Lepisosteus oculatus: one gene and its partner. Each later gene encodes a partner of the first gene's protein in a complex. Links are inferred from orthologs where the notes say so. Each region holds a gene or a part of one and is shown on either strand. Other genes may lie near its edges. The genes, in order: ripk2 and tumor necrosis factor receptor superfamily member 16.

The links.
Region 2: the proteins of ripk2 (region 1) and tumor necrosis factor receptor superfamily member 16 are in contact, whole or in part, in an NMR structure (PDB 2N83), measured with the Homo sapiens proteins. The link is inferred for Lepisosteus oculatus from reciprocal best matches to the Homo sapiens genes RIPK2 and NGFR. Residues at the interface, in NP_003812.1 of Homo sapiens: Gln437, Ser465, Arg466, Asp467, Leu468, Met470, Glu472, Asp495, Ile496, Gln497, Gly498, Glu499, Glu500, Lys503, Ile523, Leu524, Val526, Ser527, Arg528, Ser529, Pro530, Ser531, Leu532, Asn533, Leu534, Gln536; in NP_002498.1 of Homo sapiens: Gly334, Leu335, Ser338, Leu339, Pro340, Lys343, Val347, Ser354, Ala355, Asp357, Arg360, His361, Gly364, Glu365, Tyr368, Pro370, Ile373, Asp374, Leu398, Asp399, Leu401, Leu402, Arg406, Arg407, Ile408, Gln409, Arg410, Ala411, Asp412, Val414.

What each region holds. Positions count from the first base shown.
Region 1 is NC_090701.1:25,469,367-25,477,173, reverse strand, and holds the start of ripk2 (receptor-interacting serine/threonine-protein kinase 2), read left to right. Parts: upstream 1-4,726; 5' UTR 4,727-5,361; coding exon 5,362-5,552; intron 5,553-7,807.
Region 2 is NC_090723.1:1,253,587-1,260,954, forward strand, and holds the start of tumor necrosis factor receptor superfamily member 16, read left to right. Parts: upstream 1-4,129; 5' UTR 4,130-4,434; coding exon 4,435-4,470; intron 4,471-7,368. UniProt on the Homo sapiens protein: Low affinity receptor which can bind to NGF, BDNF, NTF3, and NTF4. Forms a heterodimeric receptor with SORCS2 that binds the precursor forms of NGF, BDNF and NTF3 with high affinity, and has much lower affinity for mature NGF and BDNF.

The DNA of each region.
Region 1 (7,807 bases):
GCAGGGAACAAATACATTGGAATGCACTATAACTAAAACCCTAAAGTTGTCTTTATGGCAGAAATGCTACTGTATACCAAATCATCTTGCCAAGATAAGAAGATGCACAGCTTTTCCCTCTGGGCTTTGTGTTCCGCTTCAGTGCACAAAATCACAGATACAGAGTGCAACCTTTTATCCTTCCTGGGCCGCTGAGGGATGAGAATGTGAGAGACTCAAGTTCATGCTCAAGATTCCCCTTTTAAAATCAGACTTTCTATATCTGGCTAGCTGCTAATCTATTCTATAATAGTTTTATGGAGAGTTATTGTTGTTATTATTGTTATTGTCGATAGTGATTGCAGTAGTACCAGATGTACTGTAATTCAGTTAAGATCAAAGCAGAAGCAGTACAGAAATATTCAATTGAAAATGATACTTTCCCAAGAAAGCTTCAAGTGCTATTCGCACCTTGAGAAACCACAGTCAGTATACTTCTGAATACACTTCTGTATCTTGTTGAAAAGTGCTCTGTTCAATGAAATTCTCAAGAATGTTGCTCTGACCTAGGGGATGACCTTGAAACACAAGGCAAAAGGCTTGGGCAAATGGATGGGTTATTAGCCAAAGGAAACTTTAAGGTAAAAGAAGTTTCATTATAATTTCATGTTTAAATTAATCAGTTTTTCAAAAATAGTACAAACCTTTATTCCATACTCTGGTTCAGAAGGCTACAGAAAGGAGCCTTGTTATTTTTGCATTAACAGGCAGTCTGTAGTGCTTTTAAAGGCTTTGTTTCTGATTATATTAGCATGATGCAGTTACAGATAGTGCAATTAAGCTTCAAGTGATGATGAAGCAGTTAATGTGGCTTAAACTAATTCTATTAGAATGTTTCATAACTATTGGACAATCATTCTGGACAAAATAAAGCAAATGTACAAGAAAAAGAACAAAGTGGACTGATTACAAAAATAGTGTTTTGAAAACAAAATGTAACTGCAACCATTGTAAATGTGTTTCTTTAAACAAACAAAGACCCGAACATCAGCCTCTTGGTATTCTGGTGAGTACAGCAAAGCTCTGGTAGAGGGATGTTGTACATATGTACAGTGAGCCACCTCAGAAAAATTCAGCCAACAAGTGTTTGTGCTGTGCCCTGGAAAAGAAAAATACAGCTCAGAGCAAACTAGTTTAAACATATAAATAGTAAAAATGAAAAATGATTTTTTCAAGGGTAGCAACATAAATTACTAAAGAAAAAATGAATCTTGTTACATTCCATGCAATGTTCTTCCTTATTTTTCCTAATATTTAATTACTAACACTCATGTACTGCCACTGTAACAAAACTGTTACAAAACATAAATAGATCTGATACAGGCTGATTAAATGAAATGTGGCGTCTACTCTCTTTCCTGACAGTCTGTTTCATGTAGCTGCAATCGTATTGGTAACCTCAGTATAAACCTCTGTAACTCTGTGAAAAATAATGAAATCCCTTAGCTTCCTCACAGGAGTGAAAAAGCACCTCACAGTTTTAGCTTTCTTGTCATTGAAATTATTCATAAATTTTGAAAAAATTAAGATTTAGAAAAGAAACCAGCATTCAACGCTATTCAAATTCAGTTTAAAGCTTTCGGGAAACACCTACACAGAACCTATCAACATAATATCACCATAGTTTGCTGTGTGAAGAACTATTATGAATGTTGTTGACCCATCTAAAGAACTGATAAAAGAACACTGTGGGAGCAACGAAATTTGTCACGCACACAAGTGGAACTATAACATATATTTATATATTTTAGTGTATAATACAAAGCCTACCACAGGGTGGGGCCATTGAACAGAGTCCAGCTTCTCTGTTCCTCTCATCTGAAGGCTCCATTGTATAAGGAATTTCCAGTTTAAAGAATGTAACCTTTATAGTTTCTACAGAAAATTACATACAGTATTACATATATTTAAAATTCAATTCAGTGAGGAATTGTCCCTAGTGGGTCCCATCATTCAAATAATACAGTATCATTTTAAACAGAAAACAGAAGTGACAAAACCAACAGAACAAAACCAACCTTGCTGTACCCACAACAAACATTTTATTTTTTATTAACTTTTTCTATCTATCCATCCATTTTCTTCATCCATTTCAGGGTCATGGGGGAGCCAAAACCTATCCCAGCAAGCAATGGTTGCACAAAGACACAAACACAGACAAATACACATGTGGACCAGGGCCAATTTTTCCCAGAAACCAATTAACTTATTAGTATGTGTTGTACTGTGGGAGGTAACAGAAACAGAGCACACGGAGGAAGCCCACACAATCACAGAGAGATCATACAAACTCCACACAGATAGCAGCTTAGATCTGGAATTGAATTTAGGGCCCCCAGTGCAGCGATGTTAACCACTGTGCCACTGTGCAGCCTCCTCCCCACTTAATAAAAATGGGGGGAAAAAAAGTGAAAAAACAAAGATTGTGATTGACAAAAAGGCAAAACCAAGGAGAGCAAGGGGTTGCCAGTCCTGGTCCTGAAGGGAGAATGTCTCTATGGGTTTATTAGGTCTTAAAGCAGCAGCACCTGGAGTTCTGGGAGTAGCTGTTATAACGGTCCAATTAAGCCACTAATAAGCTGATTCAGGTCATTCCAAGCACAACTGAACTGAAGACCTCTAGAAAACCAGCCCCCCAGGACCAGGATTGGGAACCCCAGCATGAGAGGCTTTATCAGGCCAACAGTCATAAAGCCCAGGAACGGAGAGAACCAATTTCTGTCTGGACCTGGACTCCTCGGAAGACACACCGGTGTTGGCATCGGTCACACCTCACCAAAGAAACACTTCGGGATCAAAGTATACAACACTGGTAACTTCTGCCATGCCTTCTGGTATTTGGTTCTCCCTGAACTCTTAGTGATTTGATTGTAATAAACTCCCCACTTAATTGGGCTATACAATCAATATATATACTTCTACTGTTACCATGTCTTTATTCATTGAGGATTATGATTCACATTTTAGCTTATTTATTTTTCATTCCACCCCTCAACCCCATACTGTGGTTTGCATTGTTATAGTTTTCTAACATTTGTAATGTTTGTGTTCAAAAAGAAATTGTCCATTCATATTGCTTTAGCAATTTCTGTCATTCCTTTGAAATCCACTCTTTGAATTAAATTGAAAAATCATGTAATCCACTGTATAAATCCTGGTGGTCTGATATTTCCTAGAACCAGGAATGAGGATCACTCCTTGTAGAAATCTGTACCTTGTGGAAGTTTGAACAAGTATGTTCCACGCTGTTAAAGCCCCTGACATTTTTCAAGAATAGACTGGATGTGATTTGGGTTAAATAGCTTCTAGCAGCTAAATAAATTGTGGTCTTGTTTCTAATGTTTTTCTTACCATTTGTATCATTTGCATATACTGCACGCAACAGGTGAAAGGCAGGACATACACAGACTCAAAGCCATGCGTGCACAGGGAGAATATACAAACTCCACGCAGATAGTACCCCAGGTCTGCAACTTGCAAGTCAACCTAGGACCCGAGCGCTGTAGAACATTTTATCTTCTGTGCCATGAGTATTTATTAAATCAAGCACCTATTCAGAAAAAAAAACTGAACTAGTCTACAAGGACCATTTCATAAAATTAAAAATGTATTAGCGATGTTCGAGCGTTGTTTCGGTGATTCTATCATATCCAAATTTAACCATACAGTGTATGGCATAAACATATTCAGAACGGATAGTGCAATGGGTGTACGATAAATGTGTGCTCGGGGTATATGTATAAATCACACACGCAGACGATCTAGTGAATGGAAATCCCTCTCGTGGCAGCATTTAAATATACTAATTATACACTCTAACGTCAGTAAAGTCGAAAGTTGGAATTTCCCAAATATCATACGTAATGTTGTGCAATATGTCAGCCCGTTTAAAGAAAAAAAAAACAAGTTCCATCTCCCGTTTTACAACCTCAGGGTTTGTATATCTGCAGTTCAAGAAAACGATTTTATAAAAAAGGCACTTAAATAATTATTTTTTTAAGTTCCATCAATATACTGTACGTAATAAAGCAGGCCTACACCAAAAACCACTGTATCCTATTACCCAGCTCTAAGAGCTGTTTTGCATCACAACACGCTGGCATCGTAACACCGGAACAAGCTGTCTGAACTCTCGGTCACAAGACAGGGCTGCCGTGAGATCCTGCAAATGAGCGGGTGCTGTAATGTGCTGGCGGTCTGCTTCATGTGAAGGATGTAAAATTATGCTGAATAAAATGTGCCGATTGTAAATTAACGGTCTAGTTATAAAACCCTTATAGAATAAAATAATCTAGTGCCGTCTCTTCTAAGTGACAAAATGTACTGTACGGCTGTTCGTGAGATTTGGAAACTACTGTACGAGTTTGACCTAAGTGGGATGACAGTCTCGCTGTAATGAAACCACTTCGATATTGTAAAAATGAGCATATAAATTAACTCTTCTCACATGACACATACTGGAAACAAGATGAGAGGAGAAGACACGCACCATATAAAATCAAGCGTTGAAACTGTCGTGTCAGGAAAGTCGGTTATGATGATATAGCGCCTGCAAACCAAAACCCTCTTTAGTGCTGTTTATCCTTTTTGCCGAAATAGCAACAGTGCGTTTCATGGCATGTGCTGAAACTCGGTAAAATGAGATAAAATTCTGCTTTTCAGTGGGCATAAGTCGAGAATCTGAATATATCGACGCAAGGTATTGCGTGATGGTTTCTCGATTGTACGGTAATTTTTACATTGTCAAACCCGGAAGATACTTGCTTAGGAAATAACCTGTAGGACAACTATGCAGCCTTAAGCTGTATAATACATTCGTCCAAGCAGCTGGGAGGCATATTTTGTATGACGCGGTGTGTGTGGTTTAGAAATACACATCGCGAAGGCGCAAAAACGCAATAAATCGGTTAACATCGTTCGCCGCAGAAAACATAGGGGTAAAATAAATATAAAACACCACAACCCCCCGACCATGTCTGCCGATTTCATTACTTTTTCCGCTGAAGATACGACCACTTCGGGATTTGCACCTCACACCTGATTGCCTTGACGGTAATAAGAAGACCTGGCGGAAATGGGGAAAATATTCTGTTTCTGCGACGTCTGCTTATTTTAATTTGGTTTTTATTCATCACTGTATTAATTAGTGGAGTTGGACTGATTTTTTCTTGGTAGTTTACTATAACTAAAACGTATTAGTATTTTTGTCTGAGGTTACGATTTCATACTCGGCTTTGTACTGTAGTTTTCAATTCCGCTTCTCCTTACTGGATTGCCCTCCCTTTTTTGAGGCCTTTGCATTTAAATATTATTATTACTACCATGGAGCATTCGGGCTGCGTTAATATTTGCAGCCTGACCAGCACTTTGCCGGTCATCCCCTATCAGAAACTGACGGACTTGCATTACTTGAGCCGAGGCGGCTTCGGCACCGTGTTTAGAGCCCAGCACTCTGACTGGAGAACCACCGTGGCCATCAAGTGCCTCCAGCTGGACTCCCCGGTTGGAGAAAGGTGGGTTAACCGAGTCGTGAGCTTGGGGAAAACAACACGAACTATGTAAGCAGAAAAACAAATGCTATATTAGGCTATTGAGATGGTTTCGACGGTATGGCTTTTGAAGTGGCCTTAATTTGACCAGTATGTTTTCGCCACTGTCGACTTAAAACATTTTTTTTCTTGCGAAGTTGATTCGTGTTTCTTATGTCTTTCTTGTCAATAGTTGTACCTATTTGACAGTCACTGCTTCTTGAGATTTTTTGTAATATTTCACATATTTTTTATTGATACGGAAACACAGTAATTCGTGTAAAAATTCTCTAAATGTTTGGAGGCTACAGTATGTGGTGAATAACGTTTCTAGCCCATCTAGACCTCCAGTTATCTAGCAGGCAGTGAGTTCAGATCTGATTTCTCAAAAAGGAGGAAAACACTACTGGTGCAGGATGCTCGGAGGTCCGTGGTCTAGGATAAGATTGGTGTAAAAGCGAGAAAACGTTTGTCTTCAGTTTAAAGACAGTGACTAGCAGACCAGTCACGCTGCGCACGTGCGTCCAGTTGTTGGCTGTCAGTTCGATCGACAAAGTTCTACTGTTGTCTGATAGTCATCAGAGTTAGTTGCCCGTTTAGGCAGCGAAAATTGGTTTAATCCATTTAAACTTTCATTTACAATTCATTCTGTGAATAGTAACAGTATTAAAGAAAGACATATTCTAAAGTAGCATTAATAGTTCTTTGAAATACAGTGCTGCTTGAAAGTATGTGAACCCTTCAACTTTCATACGTTTTACCCAAATTATCTTTAAAATGTTATATCTGAACTCCAATATTTAATGACAATACCCAAAATAATGGACACACATATATATATCGTTTCATTATCTATTAAATGTTTATTTAACAGAAACTAAGTGATTCCTGTGTGCAAAATTAATTCAATAAGCAGTGGCACATCCTTTAACAGCCTTTAACAGCTATGACAGTCACCAAATGTTTCCTATAGTTACTAATGCATCTGTTACATCTGCATCTGACTCCGCCATTTCAAAACAAAAGGTCTTCTTAATGTATTCTTTGGTAGATTTCCTGAAATGTTAGGGTTATTGTCATGTCATTGGACCCTTTTTTCAGCTCAACTTCAACTCATATCATATTATCAATATTTTGGTATGACTGACTTCATAGTTCCTTTAGTGATCGTGGGCCATCCTGGTTCATGGGCAGAAAAGCAGCCTAAAACCATGACACTCCTACCAGCACGGATAAGGTTTTTTTGGTGGTAAGTCTTTGCTAAACAAAGCATTTTTTGTTGCAGCCGAAAAGATTAATTTTAGACTCATCCATCTAGAGACCATTCTTTGAAAAATCTACAGGGTCATTCAGACGGTCTTTTCAAAGACACACAGCTATGTTCTTTTTTTGAGAGCAGAGGTTTTCTGTTGGCTTCCTTCCGATGAATGCCATTGCTATTCAGCTCATGTTGTATTGTTGAGGAATGAACATGGACATCATCCGCAGCAGGAGAGGTCTGGAGATCCTTGGATGTGTTCCTGGGGTGCTTTTCCTGTATGATGTATGATGTATGTCTTGTTACTCTGTGTGGTCAGTTTAAAGAACGTTCACATCTAGGTAGTGTTTACATCTAGGTGGAGTCACCATGGTTTTAAATGTCCTCCATTTGTAGATTATTAGTCTTACAGTTGACTGATGAAATTGCTATGGTTTTATAACCCTCTTGAGACTATTGAGCTCTAACAAAACTCTTACTGAAGTCGTATGAGGTCTCTTTAGATCATGTCATGGTGTATTTCACTAAGTTTAGTATAATACAAAATACCATGATCTAAAGAGACCTCATGGGTAGTGAGTATGGGTAAGACCAAATTTAATAGGTTTCTTACTTTTGTATAATAGAAGGCCTCCCAAACTTTGTCCTGGTGATTGACTTTTTGATTGTTTAAATTGGTACCTAATTATTTATTATTCTTACCTTGATAACTGAGCTAATGAACCTCCGCTTACTTTTGCACATGCAGTAATTCGTATCTACCTATTTTTTTTTCTATTACATGCATCAAGTAAGGACTAGTTTTGATTAAATGAGGATTTCATAGTAAAAATGTAACATTTAAAAAGTTGCACTAGGGGTTCACAAACTTTCAAGCAGCATTATATATTCATTAATTTATGTTATCAGTAATTGTCAGCAGGTTATTTGCATTTTATGAAGCCAGGTCAGTGCTACTTTGGATTTCGAATTTAAGATAAGT
Region 2 (7,368 bases), on another chromosome or scaffold:
ATTAGGTTCAATGTAACTTCTGAAAATGCCAGTTTGTCTAATGCAGCAGGAGAGGCAGTCAATCAATATGACAGGTACTGTATGTGCTCAGCTACAGTTAGGAATGTGCAAGCCCGGGATTTTTGTCATCAGAGGCTCGTCATCTCAGAGAGTTAGATTCCATTAACATTGATCTCTTTGAGGTAAAGTATAAATTTGTGCAGTAGGTGGGAAACCATACTGTACTTGCTGGCATTTGGACACCAGTCATTTCTCATTATTACTACTGTTAATCCTTAATATACCGAGTGCAGCAGTACCTCTGTGTCGTCAGGGCTAGATCATTACAGATTGCTTTATCATTGATCTGACAGCACATCGGCATGGAATTGAAAATTATATGTGGAAAACACTGGAGCTGAGCATTGGTTAATTTAAAGCAAATAATTACTCAGATCAAACTAATGATCATCATTAGTCATGTTGTATTATTGCTGTTTGAATTCAAAGATCTAATTTAGTTACTCCATACCACTCCAAGCCAGTACACTGTAAATGCTAAGCAAACTGCTTTTGTTCTTTGCATTTAGAACAGAAAACTTTCACTGTTCTAAGGTGTAAGATACACACAACAAGAGGGACATTTTCTGTGCAAAAGCAAATATTTAAGTTTTTTTTTACTACTGTGGCAAAGGGATACTATGGTATATCATGCTGAAACAACACTTTGAAATAATGGGACAAGTACGGCCAATTTGCAAAACAGGTGTCTTTTTTAGTATTTTTTATGGGAACCCCATCAAATATGTTAATAATTACTAAGGGTTTCTTTATTGATTCATACCCTGTGTTGCATTTGCAAAGTATTGCGTTCTGGAGGTGAAGGGTTAAAATGAATGATGAATTTTACTTTTCTAGGTGTTGTACTGGCATGCTGGCTTGTACTTCTGCCTCACAACTCTTGAGACACAGACTGGGTTCTGGAATGGACTCCTTCTATCTGGAGTCTGAATGGGTTTTCATCAAAAGCTCCAATTTAGCCTGGCTTCCAAAGACAGGCTGGCTGAGTGAATCACTTTCTCTGTATGATCTGTGTCTGTCCTGTGATGGACTGGTGCTTCTGGTCTTACAGGATAGGCTCTGGGTTTCTGTTATCTTTACTTGGTAACATCAGTTTTCAATCATGGCTGGCTCTCATTTAGACATTAAAATTCTCACCTGCTGCTCTCAGTACTGAATGCAATTCTTGAGCAAAACACCAATTTTTAAATGACTCAAAACTGTGCTCTGGGATACAGTATTGTGTAAACGTAAAAGGCAACATGCCAAAAAAGAAACAAAAACTCACCACTGCCATCTGCAATCTGATGCCCAGTTTACACCACAACCTGAGTTACAGTAACTTATACAGTATATAGTGACCCATGTAAGGAGGTCTTAGTCCCAGAGCGCTTATCCAATGTCTGTCGAAGTTTATGTGTAGAGGGTATTCACTGTGGTGACCTTTGGAGACCTGCATGTTACAAGTTTCATTCTTGTGTCTGAGAAGAGAGGCATTCTTTTGTGGGATAATGTGTCTTTGTGCTTAATTGTGTACATGCGGATTACATACCTTTCTGTGTGAATGTAGACACAGCCTAACATACAAAATTTCATGTGTGCATGTGCACATGTAAGGGTAAAAACATTCCTGATATTCAGACTCACACAAAAAGCTTAAATGAATAGATGACCTCTAATGACCTCTAAAAGACCCTCATCAATTAAGGCCTTCAGCAGCTGTAGGATGTGGGCTCATCGACCCAGGCAGGAATCAATGGAATAACATTTTAGAACACACGGTCGCCGGCCCCTGTAATCAGAGCTCTTGTGAAAAAGATCTCAGGTTGACTTCCTCAAAGCTAAAGGAGCTTTGTCATGTCTTTTCAAATGAGGGGGTGTACCTGTATCTCTGCAGTGTGGCTGGAGAACAGTAGGGGGTGTGTGCTTCTGCTCTTTGTTTCTGATTGGCTGCAGCCAAAATCTTTTGCATACTTATTTTGATATCACTCATTGTCCTTTATTGAGCTCTGCAGATACATAGGACTATTCATCTATGAATCTTTTCCATGTATTTCATATGAAGGTAATTAGATACTAGACTGGTACTAATAAAAATGTCTGACATTCCTTGGAAGCATCTATAATACAGATTTTAGTCAAGTCTAACCATCACAGGATTCCTGATGTTCCCATCAGTAAGTGCTTCCATTTCCAGTCATGTACATTTTCACTTGTGGCCCCTTATCCTTTTTCAGCTGTTAGCTGCTGAAATTGAACATGGGCTGCATTCCTCAAGCCAGGGGTCTGGAGGTTATTCATTTCTCTTTAAAGCACCAGAATCCTGAAGAGATGGGACAAGCTCATTATTGGTCATATTAATCCAATAAAGAGCTCATTCTGTCTGCGGACATCCAAGCTGGACTGAAAGACAGTGGAAACAGCAGTCCCCCAGGACAAGGTTTGGGGAACCTTGATTCCCTGTCACTGCAAGTCTTTGCCCTTGCTAATCTTAAACAATCAAATTGACCTGCTCTGATCTGGGTTAATGAAGGATAAATTCAGTGTTTAAATTACTGCAGGGTACAAAGCAACGTAATGTCATCTCTCACAGCTTGTGCTCTTAACCTGAGTAATACAGAATGGCGAGTGGCTAGAGGGAATTGAATCCAGGTGCCCAGATTAAATACTCCTGCTCTCCTGCATTTTCCTCTCAACTGATGCCCGCTTGCAGTGAGGCCAAAGTCTCGCAAGTGTTTTCTAGGCAACAAAAACTGAAACTAGTAGCTCTGCGTTGAGCAATTTGATTGACAAGTTGCATCAACCTGTGTTTGTAAGTAGTGGTGACAGGCAGAGTTTCAATAGAGGTGCTGAACAAAGCGCTTTTCTTTACAATGAGGCTCAAGGTGAATGTAAAACGAGGTTATTCAGAACAAAACATTATTTAGGAGCTCAACAAGTGGTAGAGGTGTGGTTAGGGATCTGGGCTTGTAACGAGAAGGTTGTGCGCTCACATCCCAGGTGAGACACTGCAATTGTCCCTTGAGCAAGGTGCTCAACCTGAAGTACAGGGTCCTGTATTGTGACACAGCTACACACACGCACACACGGACGCCAGTTAACCTGCCAGTATGTCTTTGGACTGTGGGAGGAAACCGGAGCAGCTGTAGGAAACCCCTAGAAACACAGGGCTAACAACCTGCACAAAGACAGCACCCCTCAGATTGAACCTACAGTTCCAGTGCAGTGGGGCAGCAGTGCTGACCACTCCAAGCTGGATAAATCAGTTCAAAAGTAAGATACTATGGACGAAGTCAATAAATATATAAATTTATAACAAAATGGGAAGGGAGTGAATATATACATATACAGTACTGTATAAATTATATAAAATCCACAGGAGTACCAGGGAAGAATTATAGACAGTTTTGGGACATAATCAGAAGTGGAAATGAGAAGGGGGCTTTTTTAGAATAACAAACACTTCTTTGCTGCACTGTTTTTTATCATGGTTCTTTCTGATCTTGCCGGCTTTTACGTAAATTGCGTTGAAACAACTGGACTGCAATGACAGCAAAGATCCACCTCTGAATCGCACGAGTGTTTTGCATGGTTTGTCGCCCCCTTGTGATCCGCTTTATGGTTACACAACGTGCTCTCTCGCTCTGATGTAAATACCTCTTCGCGGTAAGGTGCACTTCTGAATGTACCTGAACATTACATTGTAGTCGTTACTTACGTGCATTTTGTAAACCAATGACTTCAAACTGATTCTCGGTGTGCTTCATAATTACATGGGTGTTGGAACAGTTTATATCTGAGTGATATTTTAAATTAGACTTAGCTGACATACGGCTCAGATGAGACAGACCGTCAAAAATGCAATTAAAAAAAAACAACTAAGCAAAAACAGAAAAGACAATTACTTTTGTACGGAGAAAGTGTCATACTCCAGCATATTCTTGATTGTATTATTAACCAATCCATTACCGGGCTCTTTCCTGCGGCTGTGTAGGATGCTCGCTCTCGGAACTGAACGAAACAGAAGGGGAGACAACTGCTTGTGTGCTGTCAGATCAAGCGAAAGGGGGAGTGACTCGCATTGGTCCCAAGCACAACCCGTGAGAGGCGGCTCGCCGCTATGAAAGCAAGAGCTCGGCCACGTCTCAGCCCAAACGCGCAGAGTCTCCTCTCCTACCTGCCAGCCTGTCGCTAGATTCCCAAAGGTCCGGCACTTGGGATGTGAAGGGAATCACCGAGGACTGCTATCGACCGACAAGCCGGGGAGAGGAGGACGATAAAGAACACATTCCAGCGAATATATTCATAATAAACTTTTTTTTTTCGTAAAAGGATACTGATATTTTATTGCTAATAAGAACCAAGTCCGCCGTTGAAGCCGTGCCGGGGAAGATCATGGGTAGCGCGATGTTGGTAGTTCTTCTGGGAGCGGTGAGTGCGCGTTTGCTTCTTCCTTGCAGTTTCTGAGCGGTTGTTGGCTCGCCAGGGAAGTGGCAGAGCCTCTTTAGTTAGCGAAGGTACTGGGCCAGTGTGCTGTGCGCCGCGGCAGGAGGTGCCTGCCTGCCCAGTGACAGAGGCTGTTTTTGATACGGGCTCCAGTGCACTGACAGCGCAATGTCAAGAGCCAGGCACTGTTTCGGGAGTCACTAAGACTCGCTCTTTCTCGCACCAGGCACCCTGCGGGTCGACAGACCGCCCGGGGTGATGTTTCGCAATTATGTCCAGAATAATTTGACAGGCAGGTGCCTCAATGTTTTGAGTCAGCTCTCCCACACAACAGGTGAGAAAATGTTTAAATGGGCGTGCGAGTTTGTTATTTCCGTTTTTCGCTGTGTCGAGGCATGCTTTTCTAAACGGGATGAATCGGTAAAACCTCAACGCACCGCGGCAGAATGAGGCACAGTTGTCTGAAGTGGGGAACATCTGTTGGGATGTTTTAGATTGGTACATCTCCAGTACGAGGATAACAATGCTAAAAATAATAACGAAGATTGTTTTGCGGTATAGTCTGAAGCAATACACTGTACAGCTGTGCACCGCTGTTTCTGAGCGGAGCTGCCTCATGCACGTCTCTGAATTATTTAAATCGCATTAAACTGTAAGCAAAGTAACCAGCGGCTTTTAGGGCAGCTCTTTACAGCGCAGCGCTAATGTGTGGGGCTAACCTTAAGTGAAGCCTCCACTTAGAAACGAAATCATCTGGTTGGCTGCCTGCTACCAAAGACAATTAGTCTCCCTGAATAGACCACAAATACACAGCGCTGCCTGCTTGCCTGGCCACGCTGCTTCGTGTTGAGCGCGTCGCTCGGAACCCGTGCTGGGGCTCAGCTTCAGACCCGCCAGCTCTCCCATGGAGACCCTCGTTATGCCTTATGCCTTTTCAGACAACTTGCAGCTTTTCTCCGCAATCAGAGCATTTGCAGAGGCATCATTTATGATGATACATATTGTCGCACGTTGAGTGGTTGTCAGAAAATTATGTGGCCTCGTTAAAAGTGTGCTGAAAAACTGGATAGCTGGAAACCAAGCTTGTATTATAGTGAACTCTTAAAAACTGTAAGACATTTGTCTCGTTTTGTAATCAATATTATAACCCCAATGGCGTTGTACAACCCAGGACGCTCTGAGACGTGATGAGGTTTTAAGTTTTCTCTGAGATTAAAAGAAACTGATAGCGCATGCTATCCATTGACTGTACCCACACGAATAAAGGTGTATATTTATTACAGGGTTGCAGAACTGATCGTAAAGGTAAACCACAATATATTATCCTGCAGTAGTCAATTGTTTGTTCTGACACCACTTGTCAGAGGTCAACTAGAAAACGAGTTTGAGTCTTCCATCAGACAGGTAACTCATTTGAAGTCGAAGTTTTAAAGTGAGGAAACATATTATTATCCAGTTCCAGGGCTTTAAAAGGCTGTAAGCAATCAAAACCAGTTCGGCCTGCAGAGACATACCGTACCATTTTCACAGAGTGAGTGCTAGGGATCAGATAATCTCTTTTTGCATTTCTCGTAGAGGAAACGCTCATATGATCTCCTGCCCACACTGGATCAGATATGCCAAACCGTTGCTCAGTATTTTTGGTAAATCTGTCACGAAAACAGTTTCCACTGTGACCTTTAGCGCAACACACTTGGCTGAGGGTGGCGTTGTTTAAAAAGGTCGCCGGTAGAGAGAAATTAATATTGCATTCTTCAGATTAGACTTCACGGAAGCCTGTTAATATTGGCGTCCTGGCTAAATCGAACAAACCCAGTTTTCCAATTAGATGCAGTATATTACAGTAGGTCTAATTGGGTCGATAACGTCATTTATATTCATTCTTCTACCCCACCTCCACACACACACCCATGAAACGCTTAGGTTGCCCCAGAGTAAAGGTAAGGTGTCTTCACCGCATAAAAGAAGGGGGAACGCGATGGCCTCGCACTTATGAAAGAAGATGACAGCCAGGGGGATACAGGAGAGATTCCTGTAGATTACTAACAAGTACAGTAGCTCCCTTTTGTAAAGATTAAAGGATCAGTGTCATCGCAGGCGTGATTGTGCCATTCCTTAAGTCTTCAGTTTGAACATTAGACATTTCTGACGTGTTGCGTATTATCTGCGAAACAAACAACCAATAAAGCAGATGTAAGGATCTGATGGTTTCGGGAGAGAAAGTACCCTCCGGCTAATAAGGTCTTAGAATACCATTCGAGACGAGATAAATCCGCAACAATTTCAATCCGGATGGATTAACCAAAATTAAACGGTCAAATGTGTCTTTTGTTAAATAAATACAAAATGTATTCGGTTCCTACGAAGCTGCTTACGTGCTCATGCTACATTTTCTTTCCTGATTTTGATTTTAACACATGCGAGACAACTCATTTTTTTCAATTTATATATCGCAGTGCTTTATCAGCAGTATAGTAGAGGCTATCCTCATAACTACAAGACATATATACCCAAATATTGAAACACAAGCAATAGCTTTTCGAGGTATTATGATAAATTGAATAGGGTTGGGACATTTTAATTTAATTTAATGTAACTGAAATATAAAGCTATAAAAATGCATGTGAGGAGCTTGTGATTCAACTAGTTTGGTTGTATAGTAGGTAGCGGTTTGATTCCATCTTATCCAGTTGATTCTTGAAAGAAGCCAAGACATTTGCTTCAATAATGACTGGGTAGCTTGTTCCAGACTCCCATAGCCCTTTGGTAAAAATATCTCCTTTCCTAAGTTTTAAATACACTTCTCCAAAGCTTCCATGAGAGTCAGTTCACATCTGTTTCACTGCCAATTCTGCAGAAGACGATTAGGTGACTTACCAAAGC